Linked DNA regions of Macaca mulatta. The protein of the gene in region 2 purifies or fractionates together with the protein of the main gene of each other region. This does not show direct contact. Links are inferred from orthologs where the notes say so. Each region holds a gene or a part of one and is shown on either strand. Other genes may lie near its edges.

Region 1 (5,156 bases), on a different chromosome or scaffold from region 2:
CTCATCTTATTTTTTGCCTGAAACTCTTGCAAACTCCCAGGACTGCTAGTTTTGAGATACCTTGGATCTCAATAAAGAATAGTTCTCAATTGCTTATGAGTATAATGTATTTCTTTTGGCTTAAAGTTCAACACTGGCAACAAGTAGGGCTAACAACCCATAGAGAGATACGAAGACCATTTCTGTAGGCGTGTTTGCTGAGTGAAGAAGGCTGACTGAATTTTTTTTTTTTTTTCTTTTGAGACAGGGTCTCACTTTGTTGCCCAGGCTGGCGTGCAGTGGTATAGTAGTGGCTTACAGCAGCCTTGACCTTCTGGGCCCAAGTGATCCTCCCATCTCAGCCTCCTGAGCTCCTGAGTAACTGGGACCATAGGTGCACCACCATGCCCAGCTAATTTTTAAATTTTTTTTGTCTCCCTATGTTGCCAAGGCTGGTCTCAAACTCTTGGACTCAAGCCATCCTCCTGCCTTGGCTTCCCAAAGTGCCGGGATTACAGGTGTGAGCCACTGCACCCGGCCCCGAATTCTTAATTACAACTAAACTAGATGCTTGTGGATTTTCCTGTTTTACAACTCTTGCCTCTTTTATCTGTAAATTTAAGATCTTGACAGTTTGTTTATATTTGGCTTTGCTTTTGTGTCCCAAGAGTTCTTTCCGTGATAAGCCTATGTGGAAACTATGGAACCTTACAAATATAAAACATTTCCAAAAAAACATACAAAAATGGACACCTGACATCTACACTCCCTAAGATCGTGATCCTCTTGAAGAAAGGAGATGAACGCGGCTGCTTTTCAGTAGTTCTTCACTGCACCTTACCAGGTTCTTCATCTGGATGCTATGCTGTGAGGGCCTGAGGAGCAGGCTGGGATTGTGATGGATCCTACTGGATTTTACAGCTGGAGCTCCCAGGAATGCCCTCATAGGGAATGTCCTGAAGGGAATCATGGGTAACTTGTAAGCTACCTCAACTTATTTTTGGAACTATGTAAGATATAAGATGGATGGAGCTGGGTTGCTGTGCCTTTCTCGCCTTGTCCGCATAGAGATGCAGCTGCTCCTGCAGGCCAAAGTTCTGCACGAATCACCTCCACCTGCTTCCCACTGGGAGACAAAGGTCTGAGAGCCTGTTTAGCGATGAACCACGATGATCTTTTTTTTTTTTTTTTTTTGAGACGGAGTCTCGCTGTGTCGCCCAGGCTGGAGTGCAGTGGCCGGATCTCAGCTCACTGCAAGCTCCGCCTCCCGGGTTTACGCCATTCTCCTGCCTCAGCCTCCCGAGTAGCTGGGACTACAGGCGCCCACCACCTCGCCCGGCTACTTTTTTTTTGTATTTTTTTTTTTTTTTTTTTTTTTTTTTTTTTTTTGAGACGGAGTCTCGCTGTGTCGCCCAGGCTGGAGTGCAGTGGCGCGATCTCGGCTCACTGCAAGCTCCGCCTCCCGGGTTCACGCCATTCTCCTGCCTCAGCCTCCGAGTAGCTGGGACTACAGGCGCCCGCCACCACGCCCGGCTAGTTTTTTGTATTTTTAGTAGAGACGGGGTTTCACCGTGTTAGCCAGGATGGTCTCGATCTCCTGACCTCGTGATCCACCCGCCTCGGCCTCCCAAAGTGCTGGGATTACAGGCTTGAGCCACCGCGCCCGGCTGTATTTTTTAGTAGAGACGGGGTTTCACCGTGTTAGCCAGGATGGTCTCAATCTCCTGACCTCGTGATCCGCCCGTCTCCGCCTCCCAAAGTGCTGGGATTACAGCCTTGAGCCACCGCGCCCGGCCTACGATGATCTTATACTCAAGTCACTCCTGAGAAAGTCGGGTTTCTTTCTGTTTCCATTTCTATATGTAATTTTCGCTTCAAACAAAAATGACCTCGCTATTCCATACACAGTTTTGAATCCTGCTTTTAAAATGCGATGTCTGCCTTGTCTTTAAATATTCTGAGGGGGAGGAGAGGACATGTGTAACAGGACTGTCTATAATTTGAAACTGGACCTCACCATTTAGCGTCTCAGAAACGCGGGGTTCATTGCCCTGGCCGCTCCCCGCCTTCCCTCCGCCCCCCACCCCTCCCCGAGCCTTCGGCTGGCTCTCGCGGTCCCCGCCTCGGCGATAATGTAGTCTGGCGGCGGAGATTGGCGCCCAGGCGGAGCACGGTGGCCTTCCCCGCGGCAGGCAGGCTGCTGCTGCAGGTGGGTCCCGGCTTCCGTGCCGCCCCCCGCCTCCCGCGTCGCCACGCCCCTGCCCGCCCGCTCGGCTCCGCTCCGCTCGCATTGGCTCTGCGGGCTGTCTGTCCCCGCGCGGTGGGGAGGGGGCGCACCCGGCGGCGGGCTCTGCAGAGGGCGCCTTGCTTCGGCTCCCTGGAGGCCTGGGCGCCGGGCCCCGCGAGCGCGCCGCCACCTTGGGAACAGTGTTGGCCAAGGACCCCGACGCCCTACGTGAGTAAAGGCAGGGCGGGGAGCCTGCTGGAGAGGAGGGTCGGGGGCAGTGTCCGGTCAGCGGACCGCGGAGTGGGCAAGAGGCGCCCACTGGACATGGGGGATGTGAGCCCCCTGAGGTGCTGGGAGTAAGAACGCGGGAGGTCGCTTGTCCGCAGGAATCCGCGGCCAGGACGACCCTCATCAGGTCTGCCCACCTATCACCTTCGCGTTACAGCTTGTCTTAGAAGCATGGGTTGCCGGTGGCTTTTTTCCTTCTTTATCCCTCTTTGCGAAATGTGATTCTGGGTTTCTGGCCATTACATTATAATTCTGCAGACAGCTTGAAGCTGGGTTATCTGTTCCACGCCCCCGGCATTTTCCTTTTTGAGTACTTTATCCTGCGCTCTGTCTCCTGCCATAAGGGGCGTCAAGCTAGAATTCGAGATTCCTTCCTCCAGGAGGAACCTTCGTGGTCCATATCTGGTGCTGGGAAAGATGCATTGCTTTCCTCGGGTAGTGGATGTTCTTTGCTGCTTAAGGGAAAAAGGAAAGGGAGTGTTTTCTGTGACATGAGACTTGAAATTCTATCAGGAAATGAGCACAGGGACTTTAAGATTTCCTGAGGCGATAAAGCTACCCTTGCTGGTTAAGAGCGAATCCTTTGCAGTCTGACATTCTGCAAAGTTTTAATGTCTACAGACTGCATTATTTTCCCCCTTCAGTTAAGTTTCTGTTTGGGCATTCGTTTTATTTCTAGTGTGTGAGACACATTCAAGTGAGCTTCTCAAACCATTGTCTTTGCGCAATCCACGTTAGTTTCAAATGATACACTCCTGAACATCTCATTTCAATATTTCTATTATGTGGTAATACAGCCTCTGCTTAACAAAAGTGCTCAGGTGTTGAAAACTCACAAGAGGTGAGAAGATTTAAACAGAGTTATCAGCTGAGGTTCTAGTGCTCACTGAAATATAAATGTGAGGAGAAACACTGTCAAATGTCCATATTTTAGTTCCGTCATTGTTCTAGAATGACTTTATCTTTCTGTTAGAGGCATACAGTATGAAACACCCAACCTAAGAGAATATTTACTTAGATCATAAACTGATTTTCAGGGTTCCAGTTCTTTCCACAGTTCATAAAATTATGGGTTACCCACATGAAACTTCAGTGAAGGATTTACATAAAAACAATATAAAGAATGAGTCCCTTTGCTTATTTTAGGGCATCCACCCACTAAAATTCATAGGATCTTTGTTAGATAATCACTTCCCATTTCCATTCTTTGGTACCATCATACCATTCTGAGGATTAAATTTTCAATACACCTTTGTATTATCTAACAGTTTGCCAATTGCATAGTTTATCAACCTATTTTTGGCTGTTAAATTAGTTCCTGAACCGAAAAAGCAAAATATAAAGAATTTCTTTTTTTTTTTTTTTTTGAGACTGAATCTGGCTCTGTCGCCCAGGCTGGAGTGCAGTGGCCGGATCTCAGCTCACTGCAAGCTCCGCCTCCCGGGTTTACGCCATTCTCCTGCCTCAGCCTCCGGAGTAGCTGGGACCACAGGCGCCCGCCACCTCGCCCGGCTAGTTTTTTGTATTTTTTAGTAGAGACGGGGTTTCACCGTGTTAGCCAGGATGGTCTCGATCTCCTGACCTTGTGATCCGCCCGTCTCAGCCTCCCAAAGTGCTGGGATTACAGGCTTGAGCCACCGTGCCCGGCTTAAAGAATTTCAAAAGCTTGGTTTTCAAATAACAAGAACTCAGACTACTCTTGGTTCAATTATGAGTTGATAAGTGCCTTGTGATTAAATGACCATTAATCAATTTTTAAATTTTTTTACTAATGAATATACTGCAGATTAGTATCCCCAAACAATCCATTTTCTGATGAAACTCTTAAAGCCCAGTTTCAGAACATAAGCTTTAAGCAACAAGCAATCTTTTGTTTAATCTGAGCTCTGTTACAGCTCTGCCTTAATCTCAGCCAAATTGCTTCATCTGTAGATGGTGATACCACCATCTTTGTAATACTGTGGTGAGGATTACAGATGTATGTAAAAGTGTGTGCACCGCCTAATACCCAAGAATTGCTCAATAAATGTCAGCTATTGTTACTCTTACTGACCTCCAACTATGTGCAGATTATGGTGGAAACATGTGATACAGCAAATACAGTACTTAAATGAAAATGTCAAAATTATACAACTAATTTAAGAGTGGGAAATGACAGTAATGCTAAATTTTCCTAAGAATATGTATGAAAAGTAGCACTTCCTTGATGGAACATACATTTTTAGAACAGAAACCTTATGTTATAATGGAAAAACTAGAGAGTCAAAGTCTCTAGTTCTAACTCTGGCTATGACCTTATCTAGCTGCATGGCTTTTAACAAGACAATTGCTCCCCTCTGGAGTTCAGTTTTGTCATCTGGCTGGATTTGAGTAATCTCAAATAATCTCTAAAGTCCTTTGCAGCTTTAAAATTATTTATTGAGTGTGATAAAAAATACATTAGCTTGTTTTTCATCCTGCACTTCATTTTTTGTTCTTCCTGTTGTTTGCTTAATTTGCACTTTAGAGCCATAAGCAATTCACACAGACAACACAACTAAAGAACTAATAATATCAGACTTGCAGGGTAATCCAAAATGAAGTTTCAACAAAGAGGATAAAACAATAGAACCACATTGAACTCTTTAATAGGGCCAAAGTAAACCCCAACGTTTATTCTCCA
Region 2 (5,056 bases):
GCATGGAGAAAATAAGAGGGGACCTCCCAGGTCAAATGTTTCCCAGTTTAAGCATAAATGTTGCAATGACCAGAATGATTATTTTAATCTCTGCTTACAATGTTCTCCTCATTCCTTGTCATTTGGCATACAATGCAGATTGACAGTGTTGGGATGAAGCAGAAACTGGAAGGGTATTATAGAATTTTGCTCCCCAAAAGCATTTTTCTTTACATATGCATTATTTCAACAAATATTTACTGAGCACTTGGGAAATGCAGTGACAAGCAAAAAAGGCAGCACATATAATCTTTTGTTGGAATTTGTATTTCTGTTACTACTAGATCAAATTCATACCAACCATCTTGAGGGAAATTCTATTCATAGTTAAGGTTGTTGTTCACTGAGGAAACAAATCTGAAAGGCATTGCAATTTATCAGGCAGATTAGTAGAATTCAAGTAATGCATTAGAAGATAAATTAGAAACTCAGAAAATTGGTATATCCTTTTGAATTTTTCAGATTGTGACATCAAAATTACACTGATCTATTAATCTAATATATACATTAAAGAACTGTACATATTTACACTAACATAGAGATTATTCTTATGTCTAGCTATGTAAACAAGCATAGTAGAAGATTTGGAAATCCTGATGCCAAGGTCGTTTCTATGGTTTCTGAATGGGATTATGAGTATTCATCCTTCTTCATCGATATTTTATGATATTTTTCCATAATGAACACATGTCATTTTGTAACAGGAACTATTACAAAATGGGTAAAATGGCATTAATCTGCAGATAAATGCAGCTAAAGAACTTCTATGTAGGGAAATTCTATGAACTCTTGAAATTTGTGAGAAAAGTAGATGGAGCCACTATAGCAGTGGCCCCGATAGACACTTCAATTGGCACATTTGCTTTTCAGTCATTCTCAAGATCAGACATAATTAGAAAGACATCAATATATTCAAATATAGGCTATAATGATTCACAGTGAGATAACTATTTTAGGTTTATATTTTTCCTCAACGTGTGCTTCCCCATAAATTTATCAGAATGTTATTTGAACACAATATAGAGATTTAATAAATATTTGAAAAGTAACAAAATTCTTTACATACATTTTTTTAAAAATACTTTTTGTTCCCAAAGTACCTCTACTTCATATTGGTTTTTATGTATAATCTACTAATTAGAATGTATTAACTCATTTTTACAGAAAATCAATGTTTTTATTTCTTTGCAGTGAACCCCATGCCCGGTTCTATGCAGCTCAGATAGTGCTAACATTCGAGTACCTCCATTCACTAGACCTCATCTACAGAGATCTAAAACCTGAAAATCTCTTAATTGACCATCAAGGCTATATCCAGGTATGACTTTAACACATTCTGTATAATGTATTTGAGAAAATACTAGGCAAGACATTGTATGTATGTAAGCCCAACCTGGATTTTTTTTTGAAGAAGACAATTATTCCTAACAGTTTAAGTAGAGCTCAGAGTTTCGCTGCTATTACAGAGAAGCAAAAATCCTATTATGAAAGGAACTTGTTTGTATCTCCCTTAATCTATAGCTGTGAACTGAGTATAGCCTCTTGCATAAGGAGATATTAATAGCTAAATCTGTGAGCAGTTATTACTGCCAGGCATATTCCAGGTGTTTTACATGTATTATTTCTTTAATCCTGATAAACCTATGAAGTAGAAATACCACTGTTATCTTCATTTTAAGATTAACAAAACTAAGGCATGGCAAGGTCATTTAGCCAGTAAATGGTAGTCAGAATTTGAACCTAGGCAGTCTGATCCCAGAGTCCATGCCCTTTACGACTACAATATAACTGCCAAAGGATCCCTGACTACCAATACTGAACTTGTAGAAACATTTTCTTTTCACTTCTACTACTAATAAAGTGGGAGCATTTCTTTTTACACAATTATCAATAGATTCTCCCATTGACATTTTTACACTTCTGATGGTGCAATTAATGGCAGAGGACATATTGGGGTAAGGCAGACATTTAGCATTGTTTCATTTTTATTAATGCTATTTATTTTTACCTTTTATTTTCACTTTTTTATTCCTTGGGTCTAGGATCTTATAATAATGACTGAAAAGGGTTTTGTTGTTATTAATTTGTTCCTTTTCTTTGTGTTGAGGAAGGATTTCCAACTTGGAGTGTTTAAACCTTCATTCACTAACTATTCATTAATGAATTTCAATTACATGGACTTAATTATTTTTTCAGTTTCTTTCATAGTTTCAATTTGAATTTTAAACTTTCAATTTAGGTTCAATAAACACATTTATTGTGAGGTAATACATTTTCACTAATATTTTTTTTTTCTTTTATAGGTCACAGACTTTGGGTTTGCCAAAAGAGTTAAAGGCAGAACTTGGACATTATGTGGAACTCCAGAGTATTTGGCTCCAGAAATAATTCTCAGCAAGGTATATTCATAATATCAATACGTAAGAGGTAGAAATATGAGTCATGCATCCCTATGGACTTTTGTAAAAAGTTTATTGATCTAATTTTACAGTTTTAATTTGATCTGAGTTATGAATTTAAATCTATTTGTGCATGATTACTAAAGAATTACTATTTAGCATCTACCACTAATCCTAAACCTCTGTCAATTTTAACTCTGGGTCTTAGAGAAATAATATGAATAAATATGACCTCTAGATCCATGTTTGGCAACCAAAAACATAGTCTTTTCTTAATTATTCCTAGTAACAGGAGGGTAGAGAAGACTTGCTCTGGATTATACCAAGAGGTAAATCTAGAGATGATATGTACTAGTTGTCCATTCTTTCTTTTTCAAATTTACCAGTTGAATAAAAGGAATGTATGAGAAGTGTTTTTAAATTTTAAATAGGACTATTAACAGCAATTGAATAGTTTTAGTTGTATTGAAGGCAGCTCTACTTTTCTAAATAGTGAAATGTGGTGAGAGAAACTGTACCTATATCTAAAAGAATGGTTAACTTTTCCTCTGCCATCTCTTGGTGGAGAAATCTAGAAAGGAGAACCTAACAATAACCAGGCACAAATAGGCGAGAGGAAAAGGAAGGGAATAAGACACATGCTTCAGTGGTTCCCAAATGGGATCATTGAAATATGGCTAACCTATAGAAGGGTTAAAATAAAAGATTTCTTTCAAGTTTTCTCTCATTATCTTTTGTAATTTAAATAATGTATAACTTCTTGATATTTTATAATCTAAATATCATTGCAGTTAACACATTTCTTTAAATACAGTTAACAAATAATGTGACAACAAAATGAGCACTAAAACTTTTACAAATGTGTATATATTGTAAAAGTAATACTCATTATACAAAATTTAGAAAATACAGAAAAACATAAAGAAACAACCAAAAAAACCTATATGTAATCCCACCAACCTAGAGGCAGCCTTTTTAAAAACATTCATATATATATGTACATTTTAGCTTTTATTTTAGGTTTGGAGTTACATGTGAAGGTTTGTTACATAGGTAAACTCATGTCATGGGGGTTTGTTGTACAGATTATTTCATCACTCAGGAATTAAGCCCAATACCCATAGTTATCTTTCTTATCCTCTCCCTCCTCCCTACCTCCACTCTCAAGTAGAATCCAACGTCTGTTTTTTCCTTCGTTGTCTTCATAAATTCTCATCATTTAGCTCCCACTTATAAGTGAAAACATGTGGTATTTAGTTTTCTGTTCCTGCATTAGTTTGCTGAGGATGATAGCCTCCAGCTCCATCCATGTTCATGCAAAAGACATGATCTCATTCCTTTTTATAGCTTTATAGTATTCCATAGTATATATGTACCACATTTTCTTTATCTAGTCTACAATTGATGGACATGTAGGTTGATTCCATGTCTTTGCTATTGTGAATAGTTCCACAATGAATAAACAAATGCATGTGTCTTTATGATGGAATGATTTATAATCCTCTGAGTATATACCCAGTAGTGGGATTGCTGGGTCGAATGGTAGTTCTGCTTTTAACTCTTTGAGGAATCTCCATACTGCTTTCCACAATGGTTGAACTAATTTACACTCCTACCAACAGTGTCTAAGGGTTCACTTTTCTCTGCAACCTTGCCAGCATCTGTTATTTTTTGACTATTTATTTATTTTGAAGATGGAGTCTCGCTCTGTCACCCAGGCTATAGTGCAGTGTCATGATCTCGGCTCACTGCAACCTCTGCCTCCTGAGTTCAAGCGATTCTCCTGCCTCAGGCTCCCAAGTAGGTGGGACTACAGGCATGCACCACCACATCCAGCTAATTTTTGTATTTTTTGGTAGACACGGGGTTTCACCATATTGGCCAGGCTGGTCTTGAACTCCCGACCTCAAGTGATCCACCCTCCTCGGCCTCCCATAGTTCTGGGATTACAGGTGTGAGCCACTGCGCCCTACCATTTTTTGACTTTTTAATAATAGCCATTCTGACTGGTGTGGAATGGTATCTCATTATGGTTTTGACTTGCTTGCATTTCTCTAATGATAAGTGATATTGAGCATTTTTTCATATCTTTGTTGGCCACGTGTATGTCTTCTTTTGGAAAGTGTCAGTTCATGTCCTTTGCCCACCTTTTCATGGGGTTGTTTGTTTCTTGTAAATTTGTTTAAGATCCGCATAGATGCTGGATATTAGACTTTTGGCAGGTGCATAGTTTGCAAATATTTTCTCCCATTCTGTAGGTTCTCTGTTTACCATTGATAGTTTCTTTTGCTGTGCAGAATCTCTTCAGTTTAATTAGATCCCACTTGACAGTGTTTGCTGTTGTTGGAATTGCTTTTGGTATCTTTGTCATGAAACCTTTGTCCATTCCTATGTCCAGAATGGCATTGCCTAGGTTATCTTCCAAGGTTTTTATACTTTGGGGTTTTGCATTTAAGTCTTTAATCAATCTTGAGCTGATTTTTGTATATGGTATAAGGAAGGGGTCTATCGTCAGTCTTCTGCATATGGCTAGCCACTTATCCCAGCACCATTTATTGAATAGGGAATCTTTTCCCTATTGCTTGGTTTTGTCAGCTTTGTCAAAGATCAGGTGGTCG
Region 3 (5,156 bases), on a different chromosome or scaffold from region 2:
TGCAATCTCCATCTCCCAGGCTCAAGCGATTCTTGTGCCTCATCCTCTCGAGTAGCTGGCATTACAGGTGTGTGCCATCACACGCGGCTAATTTTTGTATTTTTTAGCAAAGACAGGGTTTCTCCATGTTGGCCAGGCTGGTCTCGAACTCCTGGTGTCAAGTGATCCACCCGCCTCAGCCTCCTAAATAAAGTCCTGAGATTACAAGCGTAAGGCACCAGGCCTGGCCCAGAAGTAATTTTAAATAAACTTTTATATGTAAGGATGACTGGGAGAATCAAGACATTTGAATCTTTCCAGTCTGTTTTTAAACTGATAAAGCATTTTTCTTTCTCTTACCCATATTACCAGCTTATTGACCCTTAACTCACACCCAGGCTTAACCTAGATCTTCTCTTGACCAGTTCTCACTCTTCAATCCTTCCAGGTAGTTGATTAATAAAATGCAGACAAGACAGGAAAAAAAAAAAAAAATCAGTTACCCTATCCAAAGTTACTTCAATTACTTTTGAAAAACCAAACACCACACACCCTACAAGTTTGAAACCCTTGCCAAAAGGTGATGAAGACCAGCCAAAAAATTTATTTTTCTATTTCTGAAAATTAGTTTGCTAAGATGGAGTGAGAAGAAATTTTTTTCTAATCAACACTGGTCTCCTCTGCCCATTCACAAAGATATATTTTCTACGTTACATTTTTGTCAAGTATAGAGAGAATTCCTCTACCTATTTATAACTGACAATTTCTCTTAAAACGGTCTTTAATATGTTGTCCAAATTGGTTTGAGTTCCTTTTCCAGACAGTAAGTTCCTAAAATTAAAAAATAAAAAAAATTAAAAGTACTATATTTTTTCCGGCCTCTAAAGGCAAAAGAGGACTTCTTCAGCTTCTAGACTTATCCCTGGAGTTCAGGGGGCTAGAGAAGGCTAGAGACTTTCTCACTATGGTTCCATGTCTTAGGCAACTTCCCATATCCTCAACTGCAAAATATCACTGGCCTAGGAGTCCACTGCTAGACCCATATCAATCTCGTCGATAGTGCAGTTATGTGGGTACATACACTAGTCCCTAGTTCAGCTTGGGAACCCACTTCTTCCCTGATTCCCTTACGTTCTTTGACCTTTCATAAATTACTATTACAGCTACAATTAATAGTGACATTCACTGTTCACCCCGGGTCAGTTTTGTCAGGAGGAACAACAACAACAAAAAAAATGAATAATCAGGGTACCATTTGAAAAAGTAAACGTTTAAAAAAAATCATTCAGTTGCACTATTTTAACTGACACCAATCATGTCAGGCACTGGGCTGCCATCCTAAAATCATGACGTTAAAAAAAATTATCTTTGCATTACTGATACCCCATTTTTTCTTAGCACTCCATATTTTGAGTATTTTCAGACATAACGAAATCACAATCAACATGACATTTCTAAAACAGTGGGAAGCAGCTAAGCAAAACGAGCATTTTGCAAGCGATTGAAAAGCTGAAAAGAGAGCAGGAATTAACTCCAGTTTGTACTAAAGCTATTAGATGTGTGTCTCAGCAGTCTCTCTCACCATGAAACTCCTTAACATCTAAAGCTAAACCACAACCAACTTTATATGGTTTTAGAAGACAGAGAAAGCAGAGAAAAAAATGAAAGCTGGTAATACGGGGAAGAGAAAAAATGTTAGCTTTTACTGTCATTGTCATTTACTTTTTTTTTAATACTTCGGTTACATCTACATATTTTTTATAAAGCAGCTTAGATGCCTGGATTAATAGCAGTATACTAAATCCATTCGGAGTACTTTATGGCCAGCCTTAAGCCATTAACAGCCTAGGAGGGTATTTGACAGCAAATGCAAATATCAATACTACGAAGAGCCCCTTGACGCCTTCCGTTTCTGTCATAAGATCTGAGCAGCGCCTGCTTCCAGGGCTCCGGGGTTCTGACAGTGAAGGATGCTGTTCGCGGACAAAGTGCAACGTCCTCCTTCTGCTGCAAATGTTCCTGTGCGCACACCACGTACCCGGGGGACCGTCTCTAAAGACCACCCCGTGGATTTAAACAGCCTGTCATTAAAAGCGGCGGCAGCTCCACCGCCACACTCGGGACCCCAGGAAGACCCGTCTCGAGACCGAGCACCTCCCTCTACTCTGGGCCCGGTGCCTTGGGTTTCCTCCCTCGGCCGCGCTCCTCCCGCCCTCCTCCCTCCGCCATGCGAAGGCGCAGCTCTCGGGCGGCCCCGAAGACAGAAGAGGGACCACGGGCCGGCGGAGGGGCTGGGGCGCCGGAGCCGGGCCGCTCCATCCATGCCGGCCGCATACCTGCCGCCACCCCATCTAACCGCAGCCTCCGCGGCAAACGCGTCGGAGCCCGGCTCACCTGGGGGCCGCAGCCTCCGCAGCTCATGGACATGTCACCGGCCGCAACGACCCGTGAGCGAGCCGGGCGAGCAGGCTGGCCCCCTCCCGCGTCGGCCCCCAGCCCTCCCCCCTCCCAGCCCCGCGGCCCGCCCCCGCCCTGCCCACCCCTCGGCTTCCGCCGCCGCCGCCGCCGCCGCAGCTCCGGCCCGCAACACCGCCTACTCTCCACGCCTCCCACTCACTCTCGCGAGAGGGCAGCGCGCCTCTCGCGAGAAGAACTCCGCAGCCGAGCCCGCGCAAAAGTGAGTGGGCGTTTAAAAAGGGAAAGAAGGAACAGGAAAAAAAGCCTTCCCACGTGCTCCGGAGCAGCTAGCGGAGCAGCCCCGCTGATCACATGATTTAAAGGGGGCCTCTCCATTGGCCGGGACCCGCTCAGCCTTGGGAGCTTTAAATTCGAGGGCGACCTACGAACCTGCGGCGGACGTCTTGCGTGCTTCCTGGTCCGTTGCCTTGGAAACGGCTTAACCCTTTCCTCTGGCAAGTCCCCAGGCCTTGGCTTGCTCCGCAGATTTGGTTTCAGGCTCTGCCTCTTTTCCGTCGACCCCTTAGTCTTACAGCCTGGGGCCAGCTGGGCTCCTTCTTCGCCACAAGGCTAGTTTTGCTTTCTTCCGAAGCCCCGGGCCCTTCCCTAAGTGGCAGCCCCACCAGATCCGAAGGCCCAAGGAAGGCTCATCCTTTCTGATGACTCCACCCCTTTTCCCAGCATCTCCAGGGAGGACCACTCACAGCGCACAGGGCAACCGGCCCTATCCCAGCCAAGAAGTAGCACCCAGGGTTCTCAGGGCCCTAGTGCTCACCCTGATGTCTTTACATGGTATGGAAATCGGAAACTAAAGCTTTGGTCACTGGGAATCCTAACCAGAGATGAAAAGCTGTTGTGCTGATTATTTTCACCTAAAATCCGAAGGGCCAGTATTGCCCTGTCTCCTTAAGGGCATCTGTTCCTCAAGAGTGGAAACACCTGGCAATAAAAAAGACATTTTTGAGTGTATCCTCATTATGAGTTAAGTTTTGCCCTGTTGAGAGGAGAGGGTCAGGGAAGAAAGGGTGCAATTCATTTGTTCATTTCTTCATTCAACAAACACTACTCCAGGCTTTGTCCATTGAACATCATTGTCCATTGAACAATGATGAAGATAAGTAGTGTAGATTCTAGGGAACTTATCTGAGGATGAAAAGAAAACAAAATATCTGTTGGTTTTAAAATGTATGTAAAGAAGTTACAATAAGTGACGTGATGGTGATTGAGTGGCTAGTAAAGGGGCTGCCCTTTTGAGGAGGAGACATTTTAGCAGCGATTTGAATAACAGTCATGCAAAAATCAGAGCGTACAGCATTCCAGGAAAAGGATAACACTAATTCAAAGGCCCTAAGTAAGGACCTGTTCTAGTGCATTTGAGGGAAGAATAAATGAGAAAGTAAACTTTATTGAGCCTGGAGATGGAAACTGTAAGAGTTAAAGAAACAGAAAAGGCAGCTTAACAGAGACAGGTTTATTTTGGAGAATAAACCTGAGAGGGTCTTCTGGCCAATTTCAGTCAGTAGTGTTCTCTCTTACAGACTAAAGGTATTTAGCGGTTGAGGGAGGGAGAGCATATTGCAGGCTTGGAATGTTTCTGGGTGGAGGAGGGTTTTATTGCTGGGGGTTTAATGTCTCTGGTTGGAGGGGAGGCATATTTCTGATCAGAGGGGGGTTTATCTCAGGGTTGGAATATTTCTCATCAGAGGTGTCATTTGTGGTTTATGGTCATGATGACATTAGGCTGATGTTTCTGGGGCTGGATTTAGGCAGTTTTTAATCAAGGGGAACTTAAAATGGTGGTGCTTGTCCAAGATGGAGATGTTCTTGCTGAGTCAGAAACTAGCATGGATCAGATCCTGTAAGGCTTTGTTAGCCAAGAAAGGAATTGAAAGTTTATTCTAAATGCAATAGAAGGTATTAGAAAGTTTTTAATAGGGGAGAGACACCCAGAGTTTACTTTAAAAAAAAAAAGTCTCTTCCTTGAAAATAATGGGTCTTAAAGAGGCCAAAGCAGAAGCAAAGATTAGGAGATTTATAGGCCAGGTGGGAGACAGTCATGAAATTTAATTTCCAATGATCTTAACATTTCTAAACTTCATTAGGTCAGAGTCCTGATGCTGTTTCTGCCTTTGTTGAAACACGTGGATTGCTCCTAATTACTAGGAAAAATAAAATGGAGAATTTTCTTTTGTAACCTGGGGGAAAACAAATGGCTGAAAAGGAAGGGCCCATCTTTAATTTTTTTCCCTCCATTACGCTACACTGACAACCACCTCTTCTGTCTATTCTTAAAGTCAGTTCTAAGAAGAGAACAGAAAATGAAATTCTATGCAGATACTTATTCTTTAGTGTAAGATTTGAAAAGATAGAAGTTGAAAGCTCGGAAATGAAGAGGATGTTTCACCAAAAGAAATGAATCAGGAGACGAGTTCCAACACGAAGCTCTGTTATTAGGGATACAACCAAATCAAGGTTCCTTATCACCACTGAGTCTCAGCTTCCTCATACATAAAACAAAGCAATTTAACTAGCCTACACCTAAAGTGGTTAAGCCTGAATTACACTTTAACATGCACACACCAGTAGGACGGAAGCTGGAAAGGGAAATGAAATGATTTTTTATGAAAACCTAACAGAGTCAGCGGCTCAACCCAAATGAAATTAGACACACATGTACACCAGCTGAGGAACTCTGAACTGGTTGATACGGATACCAGGAA

The links. The genes of interacting proteins can lie anywhere in the genome.
Region 1: the proteins of PRKACB (region 2) and AKAP5 purify together in Homo sapiens (affinity purification with mass spectrometry; 4 studies listed by BioGRID and IntAct, counting the BioPlex papers as one, with this or other methods). This does not show direct contact. The link is inferred for Macaca mulatta from reciprocal best matches to the Homo sapiens genes PRKACB and AKAP5.
Region 3: the proteins of PRKACB (region 2) and AKAP11 purify together in Homo sapiens (affinity purification with mass spectrometry; 5 studies listed by BioGRID and IntAct, counting the BioPlex papers as one, with this or other methods). This does not show direct contact. The link is inferred for Macaca mulatta from reciprocal best matches to the Homo sapiens genes PRKACB and AKAP11.

What each region holds. Positions count from the first base shown.
Region 1 is NC_133412.1:137,557,660-137,562,815, forward strand, and holds the start of AKAP5 (A-kinase anchor protein 5), read left to right. Parts: upstream 1-2,333; 5' UTR 2,334-2,434; intron 2,435-5,156. UniProt on the Homo sapiens protein: Multivalent scaffold protein that anchors the cAMP-dependent protein kinase/PKA to cytoskeletal and/or organelle-associated proteins, targeting the signal carried by cAMP to specific intracellular effectors.
Region 2 is NC_133406.1:156,357,639-156,362,694, reverse strand, and holds part of PRKACB (cAMP-dependent protein kinase catalytic subunit beta), read left to right. Parts: intron 1-1,230; coding exon 1,231-1,357; intron 1,358-2,342; coding exon 2,343-2,438; intron 2,439-5,056. UniProt on the Homo sapiens protein: Mediates cAMP-dependent signaling triggered by receptor binding to GPCRs.
Region 3 is NC_133422.1:21,626,858-21,632,013, reverse strand, and holds the start of AKAP11 (A-kinase anchor protein 11), read right to left. Parts: upstream 3,098-5,156; 5' UTR 2,827-3,097; intron 2,581-2,826; exon of another isoform or gene 2,374-2,580; intron 1-2,373. UniProt on the Homo sapiens protein: Binds to type II regulatory subunits of protein kinase A and anchors/targets them.